3 linked regions of the Nothobranchius furzeri genome follow. The main gene of each other region encodes a partner of the protein of the gene in region 3 in a complex. Links are inferred from orthologs where the notes say so. Each region holds a gene or a part of one and is shown on either strand. Other genes may lie near its edges.

Region 1 (6,341 bases), on a different chromosome or scaffold from region 3:
CGGCTCTGGTTCCTCCTCGGAATGCGCATAGGTGGGATTGAGGTTCTCCTCAAATATTCCTTCCACCGTCCGACTATAGCCCCAGTTGACATCAGCAACTCCCCATCCCCACTGTAAACAGTGTGAGCGAGTTGCTGCCTCCTTCTCCTGAGGTGCCGGACAGTTTGCCAGAAACTCTTTGGAGCCGATCGATAGACTTTCTCCATGACCTCACCAAACTCCTCGCTTGGCTATCGGGTACCTGTCTGCTGCCTTCGGAGACCTACAGACCAGCCACGCCCTGTAGGCCTCCTTCTTCAGCCTGACGGCTCCCTGAACCTCTAGTGTCCACCAGCGGGTACGGGGGTTGCCACCACGACTGGCACCGGCCACCTTGCGACCACAGCTAGCAACAGCCGCCTCAACAATCGCAGAGTGGAACAAGGCCCACTCTGGGTAAATGTCCCCCACTGCTCTCGGGACGCGGTCAAAGCTCTGCCGGAGGTGGGAGTTGAAGACCGTCTTAACAGGTTCTTCTGCCAGGCGTTCCCAGCAGACCCTCACTATGCGTTTGGGTCTGCCAGGTCTACACGGCATCTTCCCCTGCCATCTGATCCAACTCACCACCAGGTGGTGATCAGTTGTCAGCTCTGCTCCTCTCTTCACTCCGGTGTCCTAAACATACGGCCGCAGGTCAGATGATATGACTACAAAGTCTATCATTGACCTGCGACCTTGGCTGCCCTGGTACCAAGTGTACCGGTGGGCATCCTTATGTTCGAACATGGTGTTCGTTATGGCCAAACTGCGGCTTGCACAGAAGTCCAATAACAAAACACCGCTCGAGTTCAGATTAGGTGGGCCGTTCCTCCCAATCACACCCCTCCAGGTCAAGATGTCATTGCCCACGTGAGCATTGAAGTCCCCCAGCAGGACAATGGAGTCCCCTGATGGAGCACTATCTAGCACTCGTCCCAGGGACTCCAAAAAGGGTGGGTACTCTGAACTGATATTTGGCCCATAAGCACAAACAACAGTCAGGACCCGTTCCCCGACCCGAAGGCACAGGGAAGCTACCTTCTCATCCCCCAGGGTAAACCCCAACACACAGGCAGAGAGACTTGGGGTTAACAAAAAGCCAACCCCAGCCCTCCGCCTCTCACCCGGGTGCAACTCCAGCAAAGGAGAGTGTCCCACCCCTCTCAAGGACTTGGGTTCCAGAGCCAATGCTATGTGTCGAGGTGAGTCCGACTATATCTAGCCGGTACCGCTCAACCTCTGCCACAAGCTCCTGCTCCTTCCCCGCCAGTGAGGTGACGTTCCATGTCCCAAAGTCCAGTTTCCTTGTCCGGGGATCGGACCACCAAGGCTCCCACCTTGGTCTGTCACCCGATCCACACTGCACCGGACCCTTCATGCTCCTCCTGCAGGTGGTGGGTCCACAGTTGGATGAGCCCATGTATCCGGTTCGGGCTGGGCCCGGTCAGGCCCCATGGGCGAAAGCCCGGCCACCAAGCGTTCGCTCACGGGCCTCAACCCCAGGCCTGGCTCCAGGGTGGGACCCCGGTAAGTTAACCCTCCGGGCCGGGTACTCCGACTCTTTGAATTTACATCCATGAAAGATCCTTTGAACCTTTCTTTGTCTCACCCTTCACCTAAGACCAATTTGTCATGGGAGACCCTACCAGGGGCACAAAGTGCCACAGACAACATAGCTCCTAGGATCATTAGGGCACTGAAACTCCTCCACCACGATAAGGTGACGGTTCAAGGAGTAGTAGGTAATATTGAATAAACTAATTTAGTTATAACGTTTTATCAGCAGGCGTGTGTAATTTCTAATCAAATATATTATATCTATAAAAAAACATCCGAAAGTGAATTTCCAAAAAACAAGTACAACTATCACCAAGAAAGAAATGAGAATGAGGTAAACATGTTTTTAACAAATGAAATAAAAAAGGAACAAAAGACGAATAGAATTTTTAAGAGTAGAAAACCAAAATGAAAATGTGATTTTATTCTATTTTTACCATTTTTTCCCCTTGCCTTATTTATTATGATATATTTTTTGCCATGTTTATTTATTTTTAAGCTCTTTATTTCTGTTAGTCTGGATTCAGGCGAATATGGTTATATTCATTAATAATTTTTTTTTCTTTATGTGTGTGTGTGTGTCAAATTCAGAAAAAGGAAACAAAAACTAAGTAACAATTTATTTGAGTGACTATGATAGAAACTACAAACAAAAAGACGTAAGGACGTCGGTCCCACTTCCGGTGTCGTACAGCTACTGCGGCGGATGTTGATGTTTTGTTAGTAGCTCGCCTCGGACAGCGATGGGAGCTACTTGATATTTTTGTGGTCATCCTCTCTGTTCAGTGCGCGTTTCTCTGAGAGGTTTCCGTGGTTCTCGGTGTCGTTTCTCTCCCGGTGTCTTTACCGGGGTGAGATCGAGTCGGGAGATGATGGAGGACTTTGATGAGATCTACGAAGAGGAGGAAGAAGAAGAGGACGAGGACAGGGCCGCGGAAGAGCAGCTCCTCAAGTATGCTCCGGACCCGGTGGTGGTGCGAGGCTCCGGCCACGCTACTGTGTAAGCTACCGGCGGGACTGGCGGGGATCGTTCCCGGTAAAAGACAACTTGTCGGGGTGTGAGGGGAAACTTGCGGACTAGCTGGTGACTTAGCCGAGTTAGCTAGCTGCTAACAACTGGCTACAGTGAGCAGTTAGAGGACGGCGGTGAAGAGTTTGTTTTGTTTTCTCATCGTGAATTCACCATAATAATTGTGTTATTTTAGCCACTGACAAGTCAGCCCGCTGTTGATACCAACGGCACTCTTTGTCGAGCATTCAGCATTGTTTTTTAATTATAAAAACAAAGTTACTGTGGTTAACTATATTTACTAACGTCCGTTTCATTCCTCATATGTAACAGCTGGACTCAGTTTCCCGAATCTTGTCTCTTCCGGTCAGACTTTTTCGAGTTTAGACGGTTTACACATAAAAAATACTAGATGATACTGTTCACCCAAGCTGCTCCATCTTCTTGGTGTAGATATTCTGAAGCATCTAAAATGTACCTTTTTATGCTGCAAGAGTTTAAAACCTGGCCTAAATTATTTATTTTCTTTCAAATATCTTAAACATTCTGCCAACCCTTTCTAGATGTATAGTCAGTATCTCCAGGCTTTTTGAAGTGGTCTCAAGGTTACTTTAAGGTGCCTTTTCACCAATTTGCTGCCAACTTTTTTGTCCAAAAATAAGCCGCCCTCTGGATTTCAGATCTAGAATCAGTGCAGTTGGTCAGGCCTAGGTTCAGCAACATCATGTGCCCCAAGAATGAGGTCTGCTGAACTTACTGAATAATCAGATTAATCCATCAGTGGGGTTTTTCTTCCCTGATGGCATGTTCCCAGATAACAGTGCCAGGAGCCATCAGTCTCAAACTGTGGAAGAGTGGTTCAGGGAGCACGAGACACATGGATCGTCCACCGCAGAGCCCAGACTATAACATCACTGAGTCTCTGGGGTATGCCAGAAAAGGCTTTGTGCAGCGGTTGGACTCTCAAGGTCTTGGTGGAAAAATAATGCAACACTGTATGAAAAGAAAAACTTGTAAATAAGTGAAGTTAAACATCTGAACAAAGATTGCAATAACCCGAGATGGAGAAAAGATAACTTGTCTGCTTGTTTTGTTCCTGTTTAAATGAAGAGATCAGCTGTGTATCGAATGTGGCAAAAGAATATACTTCACACCACCAGAAACAACATAATGCGGTACTAAAAGCCAGATCAAGACTGAATTTAAGTAGAAAACTCACCCAAGACACATCCAGTGTTATCGCAACATCTTGTTCCATCAGAATGTAGGCGGTTAAAAACTGCTGCCACCTAGCAGACGGAGTGAACTACGCCACACAAACAAATTACAGTAAATGTTTGCATGTAAATTCTCAGTAGAAATCGATACACAGCATTTAATTATTGATTCAGTATCATAAAACAGAATATCACAATATTTCAGTTATATAATCCCTAACATAATCTCTGTTATGTTTACATATTGTATAAAAGCAGAGGCTATGCTGTGAACTGGTTTGTGAATCAGCTGATCTTGTTCTTGTCATTTTCTCTTTTAGTTACAAATTTAGAATCACATGAACCTTCATCCTGCTGTTTAAAGCAAACTAAACCGTAATCGTATGATCAGCTATGCCGTGTTGAGCTTATTTCACTTTATCTGTAGGTTTTCAGTTTAACTCGTAAAACTTCTTTCCGGAGTATTTCTCTTATCCGATGGCTCCATCTAGTGGCTCACAAGCATATCACACAAAAAAATCTGTTGCTCTGTTTAAGATCGCAACTTCACGTATAAATGTGCATCTGTAGCCGACAAACAGATCTAAAACACGTTGTTTTACGAGTATTATTCTCATGTCATGTTGTGTTCTCATATATTTATATTTTAGAGACTTACTTGTCCATGGAAAGTTCATCATCTCTGCATCAGCCGAGGTATTCCTTAAATTTGATGCAAGTAAGAGGTAGTCTAACGCTGTTGGTTAGTTCTGATCGGCACTCAGTTTCCTATTGCACGGAGCTCTGCGGGGCAGGGGGCGTGCTTGGCAAAGATAAATAAATAAATAAAAGACACATTGCTTACATTTTATCACAGTACATGATGAGACAACCGCTTTTATGGATTTCTGAAAAATCATACATCATTTCTGAAAGCGGAAAACTCCAGAAAGCAGCTTTAAAAGGGATGTAAGAAAATATCGATATAACAATGCCATACCATACCAATTTATTTATAAAGCACCATTTCAAAATAGCATGGCAGCTAACCAACCTGCTGTACAGAAAAGAGCCAAATGCTTGAACAAATCAACAAAGCACAATGAAAGCATGAAAATCAGGTAAAATACATAAAAACATAGCATAAATAATCAGGGATAAATATTCCTACTAAAAACAATAGAATAAGAGAGCAGTTAACTGCACTATCAAAAATAAAAATTAATGCGATGAATGATAAAAAACATTTGAAATGGCACAAATAAAACCAAAGACGCTACAAGATTGTGAAAGGTGTTAAAAGTAAGCTACTGAATCATAAAACCTAAATTGAGAAAAATAAACTCGGTGCTGGATTTTCACGTATATCGTGATATTTTTTCTTTTGACATTACAGTGATATTCAAAAGCCATGTATCTAACTTTTGGAAGAATTTACTTGCAAACATTTGTGTATTTTCTTTTCTTTTGGTGCAGTTCAAACGCCAACCACTAGTTGGCAGCAATGTGCAATGGGTTTTGTTTCCACCATGGAAATGGAAATCTCTCTATTGTGGTTCATATACCTCATGTTTATGTGTTTAGCAGACACTTTTTTCCTAAGCGACTGACGCCGGGGACACACCGGCTGCCGAAGAGCCGCGAAAAGGGGACCGCCTTCATTCGGCGCCCTTGTTATCCTATTCTATAGACCACATGGGCCGCTGAAGCGCCCCGGCACGTTCCCGCGCACGTCTGCGCTCCAGCCTGCGCCGTGCAGCGATCGTTTCGGCGTCTGCTCTATTTTTTTCGCAAGCCGCGGGTGAACCGCGTCAATTCTGGCAGGAAGTCAAACCTAGACATAAGAGGCAGGCCGGTAAATTTAACAAAATAAAGCATTTCAAAATACAATTCCACAATATTCAAATGTGTTCGTAAACAGACGCTGCATAAAAACCACACACACACACACACACACACACACACACACACACACACACAGAGCGAACTTGTGTGTGTGTGACCACGTGAAGGGGGTGTGGTTTTGGGTGTCTCTCAACCGGAGCAAACAGGACAGAGAGGCAGAAAGTCGTAGGCCAGCTATTAACAACTGGGTCACACCATAGGTTCACACACACGCGTACAAACACACACACAAACGGCAAGGGGGAGGGGGGTGTAGAGGAAAAGAGCAGAGAAAAGGCGGAGAGGAAATGGAGGACACCAAGTGGTTAAAAGAAAAACTACGAGGCGCGCCTCGACCGGAGCGGAGAAACAAGCGTCTGGTCTGAACTGAGGAGTAGCGAGCAGCGGCCGAATTTCGTGAGCGCTTAGTTTCCCGGCACTTCGGCGGCCGGTGTGTCCCTGGCGTAATCAGTCAATCCTAGGTGGCAGTGAGGCAGCATGATGAATCATAAAGGGAAGTGAACAAGGAGTGGACAGTAGAGTGGGGGATGAGTGCAGGGGGAGGGGGGGGGTCCTAGTTTAGAAGATTTTTTCTGAAGAGCTGGGTCTTGAGGAGTCATGTTAAGCATGTTTAAGTATCAGTTCGGACATTTAATTGAATATTACAATAAATTCAG
Region 2 (6,158 bases), on a different chromosome or scaffold from region 3:
GGTGAAAATGCAGCTCTGACGTCTTCGGTGGTAATCTCAGGATTCAAATCACCCACAAAAACATGGAAGTGATCTAAAACAAATTTTTAAAACGTAAAAATTAAAAAATGCTTACAATCCTTGTTTAACTTTTTAATTAGATTAAAATAAACCAGTGAAATTGTGAAGGCTTACTGGATGTGTCTTTCTTCTGGCTACTAGGTGTTGTGGCCCAATTAACCTTAACCTCCTATTTAAAAACAGTGACAAGCAATTAATATACAGAAACATATTAAAACTATGGGGGGGAGAAAATGACGGGAACTCTTACCTTTCCAAGGATTTTTCTCCCATTCATGGCTGCAAGGGCAGCAGCAGCATCTTTGTGCTCGAAAAACTCCACAAAACAATACGGGTCATTGCTTGTGTGCTGCAGCAACATGAAACAGTTTAGTGATGGATTTGTTTTTAGGGCTAGGATATACATTACCATAAAAGATAACGGGTAGTTTTACCTCTGTGATCATTTTGCAGCTTTTACACGGTCCAATCTGGGAGAAGAGTTGTAAAATCAAAACCTCTGTAACGTCCCAGGAGAGGTTTCCCACGTACCTGCAATGAAGAGGAAGTTTAAAATGTAGACGAGGTTTAATTCAGATTCAGACCTACAGTAATTTATGATTTATATATCACAGATCATGATGTAGAGGACACTACCAGCTAACGTTATATAAATATCCTCGTTTCCAATGTGAAACTGTTTAAGGTAATCCCTCATCTGAACTAACGTTTTTTTTAATCGTCGAAATATACGTGTTTTTGAACGCCTACTAATTAAAAACGTAAATTAACACTTAATATTGAACGTTGTCTACACTTGTTTTTTGGACATGTAGCTCAGTTAGCCGCTGCGTATGAGAAACCAAACGAAAGCTAGCTACCACGAAAACACTAAAAATACTTACAGGGTTCTGGGGTAACTTTCGTCGTCCATGACCAACACTGAACGTGACGTCGTAGAAAAAATATAAACTATTTGGTAATTAAAGGACGTAGACTGAGAGATAAACGCTGTAAACAACGAGCTAACTAGCTTAGAAAGCTAACCGGGCAACGTTTCTTACGTCACGCTGAGTGTGCTAACTGCGCCTGCGCATGAGCACCGAAAGGTCAACCCAAAGGGTCTGGGTCAACCTTTAGTTCGAAGCTATAAATGGCTTAATTTTATTCTGTAAGTTGAATTCACCGTGTGTAAATAGAAATTAATTGAATAAAACAGTTGATTCAGAGAATATAATGACTTATTTCCCTCTTGCTTTTCGAAAGCAACGCAATTTACGTAAAAGGCTTTTATTTTGAAGTCCATTACATGGGTACGCTCGTTTTGTATTTCGAGGTTTTCACGATTTGGACTCGAACAAAACAAGCATCGGTACTCATTTTTCACAAGGTTTTCCGAATTTTTAAACTTGATAATAGAAACAAGATGGGGTTCTTTTCCTCACAAAAATGACACACATTTTATAACAGACTAGATGACATACATATTTCTAATTTTAATCTCAGAAAGGAGCCAATATTCTACCCTTTCTCATAATTCTTACAATCTAAGAAATCTGAGAAAATAACTTTTTATCAGTGGCCTTAATTCTCCTCCGTAGATATTTATCAGAACGATAAATCATATTTGTTTCAAGTTCCTGGCGTTTTGTGTCTCCGCACCGATGCAGACGCATAAACAGGTTTAGCAGTTGCATCTCTAAGCAAATTGGATTGAGGGGAAAAACTGCTGTTCAAACCCCAGGTCTAATAGATTTGCGCATGCGTGAGTGAGAAGGTTTCAGGGTTATTACGTGATTCTGGGGTTGTTATTAAAGTAGAGCTGGTAATAGCTGCTCTCTGTAAACACCAACTATAACTAAATTAATGTAGTGTCTTTTGTTGGGGGGTGTCTGCGACACAAGAAGTAGCCGCCATGCCGCTGCTTCCAGCGCGGTCCGCCGCCCCCGACATTAACCCCGCTATTTCGAGAAACTTCCAGCCCACTTTCCTACGTCACTCGCAGGAATCTTTAAAGGGACCGCCGCCCATAAAAAATGTCTCAGTACTCGCCATGAACGCAGTGAAGACGCACTCTCCGACACTTGTGATGGCTGATAATGACATCGACCAGCTCCCCCTCGGATGGGAAGTCAAAATCGACCCTCACACTGGATGGCCCTTTTTCGTGGATCACAACAACCGGACGACAACCTGGAATGACCCGAGACACGACACCAAAAAGGTAACGGAGGCGGGATAAAGTTGTTTCAACGGGTTTCCGTAGGGTGCTGCGTCGGTTACGGATTGTGTTAAGCTGCTGGAGTCGCTACGCTACATGGCTGTTTTGTGTTAATCTTGTTGACTGTAGGCCTTGTTAGGTCCCGTCGCCTCCCCCTCACTGACTGCTCATAAGCCTAATAAAACGGGTGATCAGCCCCGTTATGTTCCCGAGTCATGATCTAACACTATTATTACCCGATGACTCACTGCCGAGTGTCAAGGCTTTCTGATACCAGCGTTAATTTAGGTGGAAAACTCATTATAAACTTTTTTACCCACAAAATAAAATGCAGTTGGGTCCCATTCCATTTAGGATATTGAATCTGGTTGTTTAGATGTGGAAATGTAGAAATCTACAGGTCTGTAATCAAATCCGTGGGCTGACGTGAGCTCCACAGGCTGCCAGCTGGGTAATCTTTCTTCATAGGGACAGACACTGTTTTCCAAAGTTAGTGTCCTGAGGAATCTGCTAGAAAGACACAGCTGTTGAGGGATAAAATTGGTGCATTGGACCAGGCAGAGGGCAAAGGGTCGTTCACGGCTATTTCTCAACTTTTGCTGGAGGATTATCAATAGTTCACACATTAATGCCCTGCTTGTAGTTGTATTTTATTTATTTTTTATTATCTCAGCTGCATGGGGCACTTTCAGTGTTGGTGTTTGATCATTCTGAGGCTTATGTAAAAAAAGTATTTGCACCTTTACAGATTTCTTCTGCTTTTGTTCTTTTTGTTGTCACGCATAAATGTTTCAGATCAGCAAAGACAAAATGCAGTTTTCAGATGAAGACTTCAAGTTCTCTTAACCAATAACTCTGAACACTCTTGGACAGAGGCGGCACCAGGACATTTTCATGGGGGACAAGATTGGGGGGCCAAGGAAAATTTAAGGGTGGCACATCAAACTAGTTCTCTTGGTAACTCTTGAGTTTTTTAGCCTGTAGCTGTGCTCTGCATCCTCATCCATTCTTAAAAAATATGCAGCAGAAATGTTATATTTGAGAAAATAAGAAACTTCAAATATTTAATTTATTCATACTTTAACATTTACTTTTTAGTAGTTTAGAACAGCTGGATGTATCTGTCGCTGTCTTAATGAATGCATTTTACAAAACAGATTGATATTTGTACTTCTTCTTGAAAATGGTGCACAGCAGCAACATATTAATTTGTTTACTTATTTCTATATTTGTAAGGTTTTACATTTTATTAAAGAAGACTAATGTATAGTTTTGTGAACATAAATATTGAACATAAATATGATTTATTAAAGGAGGTTGGAGAGTGGAAGTGCTCTGAGGTGGCCAGCAATTTTCCAGGATTGGTCAAGGCCCCCCTCTGGCCACCACTTGGGGGCGCCACTGTTCTTGAAGGCAACAACTGCAATTAAAGAGACGGTGTGTATTTTTCCTGGCGATAGGGGGCAGTAGATACATAAATCGTTGCAAGCAAGCAGTATTTTTGTGTTTGAGTAACCCCAAAATTCCACTATCTCCGCTCCGGCACGAACTCTGCAGCAAAAACGGTCCCGTTGTAGTCAATCAGAGCTGTTCCACTACTGCGGCCGTGCGGCGCAGTGAGCCGTTCCGCCATCCGGCAAAAATGGATTGATTCTATTTTTGCCGGACGCCGGAGCACCTCCGCAGTCAAAGGACAGAAATCACAATCGCCCAACAGGAAAGGGAGCAAGCACAACTTCCGTTATTTCACAATAAATCGATAAACAAAAAACGTTTTTTGTTTCATATGCACATGTTTAACAACTTTTAACAACTATCAATGGCGGTTGAACTTTAAATGCACAACATAAGCCATAAATACAGTTTCTACTATCAAAGTAGTCACACTTTGTTGATCCAAACACTGCTGATCTCTCAACACAAATGATGGGCAGATTAAACAGTTCATTTCGATGCTTCCCCCACACAACGGGTGTTTGGATCTAACTTCCAACGAGCATTTATTGCTCGGACTGTATCGCAAGATCTCGAAAATCCAGCGCATGCCTGTTTGCGCACCTCAGGTCTCTGCACCGGAGCGGAGCCGTTGTAGAGCGGGTACCAGTAAAAATTGAGTTCGGAAGCGAGCGGCTGCGGAAAGCGACAGATGCTCATTAGGGTCAAAAAGCCCTGGGGAGTGCAAACTTTAGTAAAATGACAAGCACATCAGACTCCCTTTAATCAGTGGCAACAAGTGAAGAGGTAAATGTGTAAAACAACATTTAAGAATGACAAAAGTTTTGTAACTGTTTGTTACAAATCAGTAAATGCAATTTGTCCTCACGGGCTCCCTTAGAAGGAAACTTGACATCTAATATGGAGTCACCCAGAGACTTAGACCCACTCCCATGTATTTTAGACCTGATTTTTATGGTTATTATACAAAGCCGTCAATCATTTTCAACAACTGGGCATCATTCCATTAATTTAACGACATTTTGATGGATATTTCCAGAAATGAATGATTAAAAACTACACATTGTCTCTTTAAGCTCAAGAACAACGAGTCAATCTCTTTAAGAGTCTCACTTGGAAATCACCTATACGTTATATAAAGGGGAAAGTTGCCAAAGCCATAGCAGTATTCTATAGAGTCATGTTTCTACTAAGTTGGTCTGGGTTATTAATGTTGTATCACTCACTGATTGAACCATATTTAATTTATTGTTTGGAAATTTGGGGAGCCACATGCAAAACTTTTACTCAACCTTTGTTCATTTTACAAAAAGCGCATTGAGAATCATAACAGTAACTATAGAGATCCCTCTAATCCATTATCCATTAGAAATAAAATACTGAAATTTCCTGACTTGAAAATATTGTAAATAATGTACAGAGCGAATACGAGTAATTTACCAACTAATATTCCGAAAATGTTTCATAAGAGAGTAAGTGGGTACGTGTTAAAAGGGACTGATGTCTGATGTAAACCTGAATTCAGAATGTAATATTTCTGTAAATGGTGTAAGATTGTGGAACGCCCTTAACAGAGAAATTAAAGAATCAAACTCACATGCTATAAATATTTAAAAATGTATAAAATCAAATGTATTAAGTAATTATGAAAAGGTAAACTAAAATGTCAATGATTATATATAAACAGTAGAACGGGACTAAGGTTATATTGTGAATGTTATGTGCTCGTTTTCATTCAAATGTTTTTTTTTCATTACGTTTATGTATTTGTTTGTGTTTATTTTATAAATTTTGAATGAAATAAAAAGAGTTTTAAAAAAGCATTTGTGACTGGTCTCATCACTGTGGAGGATTTTTTTGACGCACTCATAATTCAGCCTCATTGGAGAGTTTTTTTTTTTTTTGCATGAGTGGTCTCTAAGGTCAAAGGTCAGAATTTCTCCTTCAGGATGTTCTGCTAGAGAGCAGAATTCACGGTTCCACCAGTTGCAGCAAGATGTCTACTTCATGTTGTCACACAGGTTGTATTGAACTGATTTATTAATCCTGCAGGTCTGGGTGTTGCTGGTGGAACTGAACTAAGATTTGGACTGATTAGTTCCCTTAATGAATGAAATTATAATATAATAGTAATACATAATATTATGTATTTGTTCATTTTAACTTTCTCTGATGTTGAAATGTGTTTGTTGTTCTGAAACATTTAACTGTTCGAAAAAACAAGAAATCTGTAAACGGGTCAATTCTTTTTTTCACAGCTCAGTTGATTAGCTTCTAAAAATTTCTACTTTTATTGTGTTTATTTTGTTTTCCAAATGCATCCTGGAATTAATTTAGCGTTTTTAGATCAGCCCCAAATGTTTAGAAACAACAATCTATAACCGCCGTGTGGCGTAAGTCTAATTCAAGATGGCTGCTGGAAAAAGGTTTTTAACCGGGTCAG
Region 3 (6,237 bases):
GAAGTGGCAGCTTTTTAGCCCTGCCAACGGAGTCAAGAAACTTCCTAGCCTGGTTGCCTTGGTTACTGGAAGCTCAGCCAGCTGGTGCAGCCGTTGGGTTTGATAGAGGACAGAGGAGGATGGCGGTTGTGATGGTGGACAGGAGGAGTCCAGCATTTAAATGTAAGCAGTTGGTAAAAACGTTTAAAAATGAAACTTACCCCAAACAACCCCAATCTCTTCTTTTTGCACATCTCTCTGAAGAGAAAAACAGCTGAAGAATGATTCTGAAACACTTTTCTAATCACTTTTACTAATTCTAATCCTTCGATCATTCTTTATTTGTTGTTTTTAGCGGTTGAAGATTACAATAATAGCTTTCTTCCTCCTCTCCAAGCGTATGTGCTGCTGTAACGAGTGATTTTCCCTACTGGGATTAATAAAGTCTATTCTGTTCTAATAAAAAGTTCCTCCAATGTTGCGGAACATAAACTTTCAGTCCACTATTTGAATTCTTCGATCCATACATTTTCAGGAAAGTGCAGCATCTTGTGTTTCTGATCACTAATGAAACACAAAACAATTGAACTAAACCAAATGAAAAACATGCCAGAGATGTGCAAGCATCCCAAAGAGTCCTCTGCTAAGGTGATAATTTGCATGAAACAATTTTCCCATCATCCTTAAAAGGACTGTTTATCCTAGCAGCTTAATATGTGTTTTATATTGCACCCACCCTATAGATGCCACAGAAGGCTTTAGCATTCCTCAGACTTACAGATTAGTTGAGCTGGTGGGTGTTCTGGAGGATCAACACACCAAGCTGGTGGAGATCGGTAAACACAGCTGGGGACACTCACTGCTGCTAGGTCTGCAGCTCAGTTGGACCCCCCCTCTTTAACACATCTATATGTGTGTTTGCTCTGGGGATGTGTCCTAATCTTCACACAGGCTGGGATGAAAGTGACCCTGTCCAAAATCATTGTCTTGCTAGTTTCTCTGTTGCTAAACTTGAAAGATCTTAGTTATAAAGGTCGTCTGTAGGTCTCCCTGTGGGTGGGATGTCTCTGAGATACTTTATGATAAAGTCTTGAACATTACCCAACCCCTCCCTGAAGATGTCATCCACGACTGAACAAAGTGATGACCTGTTTCTAACAGACTTCTACTACTTTGGCAAAGGGTTAGAGGTGCGTTTGTGAATATTAGGACCAATCTTAATATTTTGATTTAATTATTCAAAAGTTTACATCACTGAAGCCTCAAAAGATCTTGGCATCCATGAAATAAGTTAATAGAGACCTGTTGTCCTTCTCTGCTGTTGCAGGTCTCTACACAGTTAGACGTTTTCAATTTTGATGTTCAAGTAATTTTGCAGCACAGAGCGCCCTCTGCTGGTGAAGCTTCAGATCAAAGTAGGACAAGCCGTGATTAAAAAAAAAGTAATTTGTGTGTGTGTGTGTGTGTGTGTGTGTGTGTGTGTGTGTGTGTGTGTGTGTGTGTGTGTGTGTGTGTGTGTGTGTGTGTGTGTGTGTGTGTGTGTGTGTGTGCTTTGCTTTGCTTTATGGTATTATAAGATAATAAAAATTTTAATTTGACACACAGACTCTAATTTAAATAAAGTTTAAGTTAAACTTTGAAATCCACAAAGAGAATGTTGGCTTCGACTTAAATATGTAAACAAAACAAAAAAACAAGTCTACCAAAATAACAGCAGCAAACAAAGATCCTGGATATCATTTCATAACAAGAATATGTGAGTCTGTTTGATCATTCATCATTGATCAACATGCCAGGAGAATCCTGAAAGGAATGTTGATAAATGATCCACGTTTTAACAGATTTGTACAAAGTTGCCATCAAAGGGTATATGAATGTAATCCACATTTTATTTTGGTAGGATTATTGCATTTTCTGACACTCTGACATAGCATCCTACCTGAATATGAATTTGAAACCACTGCATTAGGATTTGTACATAACTATTTGATTTAATGCTAAATTAGTAAATAAAGATAATTAAAAAATATAAAAAGATGTTCAGTACAACAGTAGATGCACACGTTTTTTTACCTTTATTGTCAATTAATAGTTGACCTCAAAACCTATTATGTATGAATATGTAAAATGTGTTTTGGAATTACTAATACTTTTGAATAGCTTGAATCTATGTCTACATGTGATAAAAAATAATGACTAAATAACTCACATGCCATCTTAATAAATTTGTCTAAATGTTACGTATTAACACGTAAATGTACAAAAATAAATGATACTTAAAAATGGTGTTTAAATAGCTACAAAATAATAATTAAGACAATTATTTAATAAAATAAAGTATACTCAAAATACTAAACGTTATTTACTGCATTTCACAAACAAATGAAATTGTTGGTAAGTCTTTCTATACATAAAACATTTTTTGTTTTATTCTAAATGAAAGATTAGGAGGTAATAACTGATACATAGTTTCAGTTATTTGCTTTTTATTTCATCGCACTAATTGTGTCCTTTCGGCTTCCGTTGGAGTAACGTAAAAAAGCCCTTTACGTCAGCATAACAACAACTTGTCATGAGAGCTCGTACGGGGAAAATCAATACTTAAAGACTGTATATCAAAATAAATGAAGTCACAATCATCTGGATGTAAGATTTATCATTAAAGGTAAGAGTTGGAAACGGTAGGCTTTAACAACGAACTCAGTTTAAACCAGAAACAGGGGAGGCTTTGGGCTAACAGGCTAATTTTAGCATTAGCTAAAGATTTTTTTACTTATCGCTTAGCCGGGTCTTGGTGTACTATATTATTAACGACAGTGTCCGGCTGAGAATAGTTTGGGATCAAACGTGGCATTTATTGTTCATTTGATGAATTCAGTGAGTTTAACTAGAGCTGAATGAGCGGAATCCTTTAGCAACCCCCGGTGAAAACCGACCACGTAGCCTAGCTTACTAGGCATAGCAGCGATCTCTGGTCTCACTAAAGTTGTGAATTTTTTCGTCTGAGAACATTTTCTTCCACAGCAGCTAGCCTCCAACTGTTCCTGCGCAAGCGAGTGATCTGTTTGGAGGTGTCGGTCGTCACCTTTCGGCTACCTCTGGTGTAAAGTTACCCTGACTTAATACTCAAAGCGGTGCTCATTGCAGATTGCAGCCCACGCCGATGTCCGTCATATGAATAGTTAATTCAGTCTAGGCACCTAGCTGTGTTTTTCAGCGGCAGTGCGCGCAGTCAGCAAATCAAACCTTTTGGGTGGCATCGAGCAGCATTGCACCTAAAAGACGCGCATTGCAGCTGCAGTGCAGTAAACCCTGTGGTGTCTGCTCTGTAGAGCGCGATCCAGGACGGACTGGTCATTTTGAACTCTGACGTCTGGCCAGCCGAAGAGACGGGGAACAGGATTGGGAAGCAGGGCGAGGCGGGCCCCGCGGAGCCGGTGGAGAAGATGGCCGGCAGCCCGGAGAAGAGTTCCACCGCGCAGGAGTTGAAGGAGCAGGGGAACAGGCTGTTCCTCTGCCGCAAGTACCAGGAGGCTGCAACCTGCTACAGCAAAGCTATTGTGAGTGGCACTAAGGATGTCTGAGTCTTAAGTCATCTAAGCTGGAAGAATACAAATGTTTCTGATTACAGATAATTCATTAACACACTTTCTGGTTTATTTTGTCCCACAGAACCGTAATCCATCAGTGGCTGTATACTACACCAACAGGGCCCTCTGCCATGTAAAGCTGCAGCAGTATGACAAGGCTCTGGCTGACTGCAAGCATGCTCTGGAGCTGGACAGCCAGTCCGTTAAGGCACACTTCTTCCTGGGTCAGTGTCACCTGGAGCTGGAGAACTACGACGAGGCTATTGGAAACCTGCAGAAAGGTTTGAGGAAGTCCTTAAAGAGGATGTAAACATGGCTGAGTTTTGCGTCATTTGGGGGGAAAAGTTCGTCTCACAAGTTCCTTCATTTTTCTTTCATAATTCCTTTTAGATTGAAGTTTTTGTATTGTCATCCTTTTATGTAGTTGTTTTCTCGTCCCCATTGTCTTCAGCAATCTTTAAAAGTTCTATTCCATGTCTACATCAATGTTGTGTAGATAAATTAATGACTTGTTGTGTAACATTTCAGAAAAGTCCGTTTTTTTCACAGTTCAACATGACCCTTAAATGTTGTAATACAATCTCCAGTAATTTCTGCCTATTTTAAATACCAGAAAGCTGATGTTTAAGTGCTGCTGGCTGACAGACTCACACTGTTCAGTCCGTGTGTTTTACTCATTTATATCTTTGAATGTTGCTGACAAGTCTCCAGACAAGTTCTTCAAACAAGCAGATCACACAGAGCATTAAACCCAATGTGCAACAGTTATTTGTTTTTTTTTACTAAAGCAGCGGAGTCCAATCCTGGTTCTGGAGTGCCGGTATCCAGCACGTTTTAGCTGTGTCCCTGCTCCAACACACTTAATCAGCAGCTCATCAAGGTCTTCAGAAGCCTGTTAATCACCTGCTGAGTGAAATCAGATGTGTTGGAGCAGGGAAACAACTAAAACATGCTGGATACCGGCTGACTTCAAAACTCATGGATAAGTCTAAAACCATAACACAACACGAGGGTCAGATTTATGCTTTCTATTATAAATGTATAGTTTACAGGCCAAACCAGAGCAATCAGAGGCTGGTTACCTGGTGGGTGCTGATGGACTGAGTCAGTGTCTCCAGTCTGCGTCATAATGATAGAGAAAGCTTGGTCATGTGTAGCTGCAGGTGCAAAATCTCTATCTTCTAACTACAACCTAACCTACCATTTCAGAGCGTTGGGAAATTGTTAAGCAGCCACAGCACCAGCTCTTCTGCAGCAGCATGGAATTGATAGAAAATTGATTTAAAGACTGTTTAGATGTTCTTTTTGACCGTTTTCCAAACTTCCAAGTTTTAACTAATGTGACTTATTTATTTGTTTATAGCGTATAACCTGGCAAAAGAGCAGAGGCTGAACTTTGGAGACGACATCCCCAGTGCGTTACGCATCGCCAAGAAAAAACGTTGGAACAGCATCGAGGAGAAGCGCATCAACCAGGAGAACGAGCTGCACGCCTACCTGACCAAACTCATCCTGGCTGAGAAGGAGAGGTCAGATGGGATTTTTCTGAAATACATTCTGGCACGCTGTGCTCCAGGTGGTTTAGATTTAGTGATATAACGTGGCGTTTACTATTTTTCATAGAGAACTTGAAGAATACAGAGAAAAACAGGATGACAATCAAAGCGGAGGAGATGCAGCAAAGATTTCATCAAAACACGTTGGGTTTTGCCCTGATTTTCACACTTTTTACTGACCAAAATATGCGTTGATGTTAATTTTGGGACATTTTCATTACATGTAAACGTGACCTGCTAAGGACAAGTATTTAATGGACATGGACGAGCTGTTCTCCCAAGTGGACGAGAAAAGAAAAGTGAGTTGACAAGTTGTTAATTTTTTGTTGTTTATTTCATTTAATTCATATTTAAATACTTTAAATAATCTAACAGAGAAACAGTGTGTGTCTCCCCCCCCCCCCTCCCCCATTTTTGTAGTTGGCATAAGAGCAGCAAATATACTTGATTCTTCAGATCTGACTTGAGATCTGTTTTATTTAAGTCTATCTTTTGCGGTTATTTTATTTTTATACAACCTCAGTAACTTCACTGACAGATGAGATCGCATGAAATAAGATGGTTGTTTTAATTTTAGCGCAAGCTGTTTCTATGACGACTGTTACTTGCTGTTTGCCAAGTTTCTTGCCAGAGCTGGTTGTTTATATTGAGGTTGTAGTCGTATAAGGGAGGATGGAACTGGCCTTGAAATTAGAATAAGATGTATCAATCTGTTATGTGTTTGCTTAATATCGTATTAGGATGATCGTTGAGGCTTTTTAGGAGGAAGTGACATCAGTGTGGTTGCTAAGCAGCAGCTTGTTGATGACCTGGACCCTGTTAGACCAGAATAAATCATCTAATTGTATAGAAACCCTGATTGTTTAGAGTTTCCTCTTTTCCTGATTCCAGAAGCGAGAGATTCCAGATTATCTTTGTGGGAAAATCAGTTTTGAGTTGATGAGGGAGCCCTGCATCACACCCAGCGGGATCACTTATGACCGCAAGGACATAGAAGAGCATCTACAGGTAAACAGTTTCAGGTCTGCTGGTAGTTGGTGACTTGTTTTATTTGATTGTTTTTTTTTTTATCTATGTGTATGTTGTTGACTGTTTTATTTGTTTTAGCAACA

The links. Proteins that work in one complex are often made in the same cells at the same time.
Region 1: the proteins of stub1 (region 3) and chic2 are in contact, whole or in part, in a crystal structure (PDB 8SUV), measured with the Homo sapiens proteins. The link is inferred for Nothobranchius furzeri from reciprocal best matches to the Homo sapiens genes STUB1 and CHIC2. Residues at the interface, in NP_005852.2 of Homo sapiens: Lys30, Asn34, Phe37, Tyr49, Val61, Asn65, Leu68, Leu71, Val94, Lys95, Phe98, Phe99, Gln102, Arg128, Asn130, Phe131, Gly132, Asp134, Ile135; in NP_036242.1 of Homo sapiens: Leu156, Pro157, Lys158, Thr159, Pro160, Ile161, Phe162, Arg163, Pro164, Asp165.
Region 2: stub1 (region 3) and bag3 share a complex: the UniProt entries of both Homo sapiens proteins name them as parts of the chaperone-assisted selective autophagy (CASA) complex. The link is inferred for Nothobranchius furzeri from reciprocal best matches to the Homo sapiens genes STUB1 and BAG3.

What each region holds. Positions count from the first base shown.
Region 1 is NC_091747.1:75,929,872-75,936,212, forward strand, and holds the start of chic2 (cysteine-rich hydrophobic domain-containing protein 2), read left to right. Parts: upstream 1-2,247; 5' UTR 2,248-2,444; coding exon 2,445-2,575; intron 2,576-6,341.
Region 2 is NC_091752.1:5,541,885-5,548,042, reverse strand, and holds the start of bag3 (BAG family molecular chaperone regulator 3), read left to right. Parts: upstream 1-2,064; 5' UTR 2,065-2,092; coding exon 2,093-2,263; intron 2,264-6,158. Other genes in the region: tial1 (nucleolysin TIAR), read right to left, coding at 1-73, 175-229, 311-409, 495-591, 945-973. UniProt on the Homo sapiens protein: Co-chaperone and adapter protein that connects different classes of molecular chaperones including heat shock proteins 70 (HSP70s), e.g. HSPA1A/HSP70 or HSPA8/HSC70, and small heat shock proteins (sHSPs), e.g. HSPB8.
Region 3 is NC_091756.1:32,258,774-32,265,010, reverse strand, and holds the start of stub1 (E3 ubiquitin-protein ligase CHIP), read left to right. Parts: upstream 1-2,504; 5' UTR 2,505-2,644; intron 2,645-3,311; 5' UTR 3,312-3,425; coding exon 3,426-3,539; intron 3,540-3,651; coding exon 3,652-3,850; intron 3,851-4,932; coding exon 4,933-5,098; intron 5,099-5,192; coding exon 5,193-5,268; intron 5,269-5,367; coding exon 5,368-5,424; intron 5,425-6,016; coding exon 6,017-6,133; intron 6,134-6,237. UniProt on the Homo sapiens protein: E3 ubiquitin-protein ligase which targets misfolded chaperone substrates towards proteasomal degradation.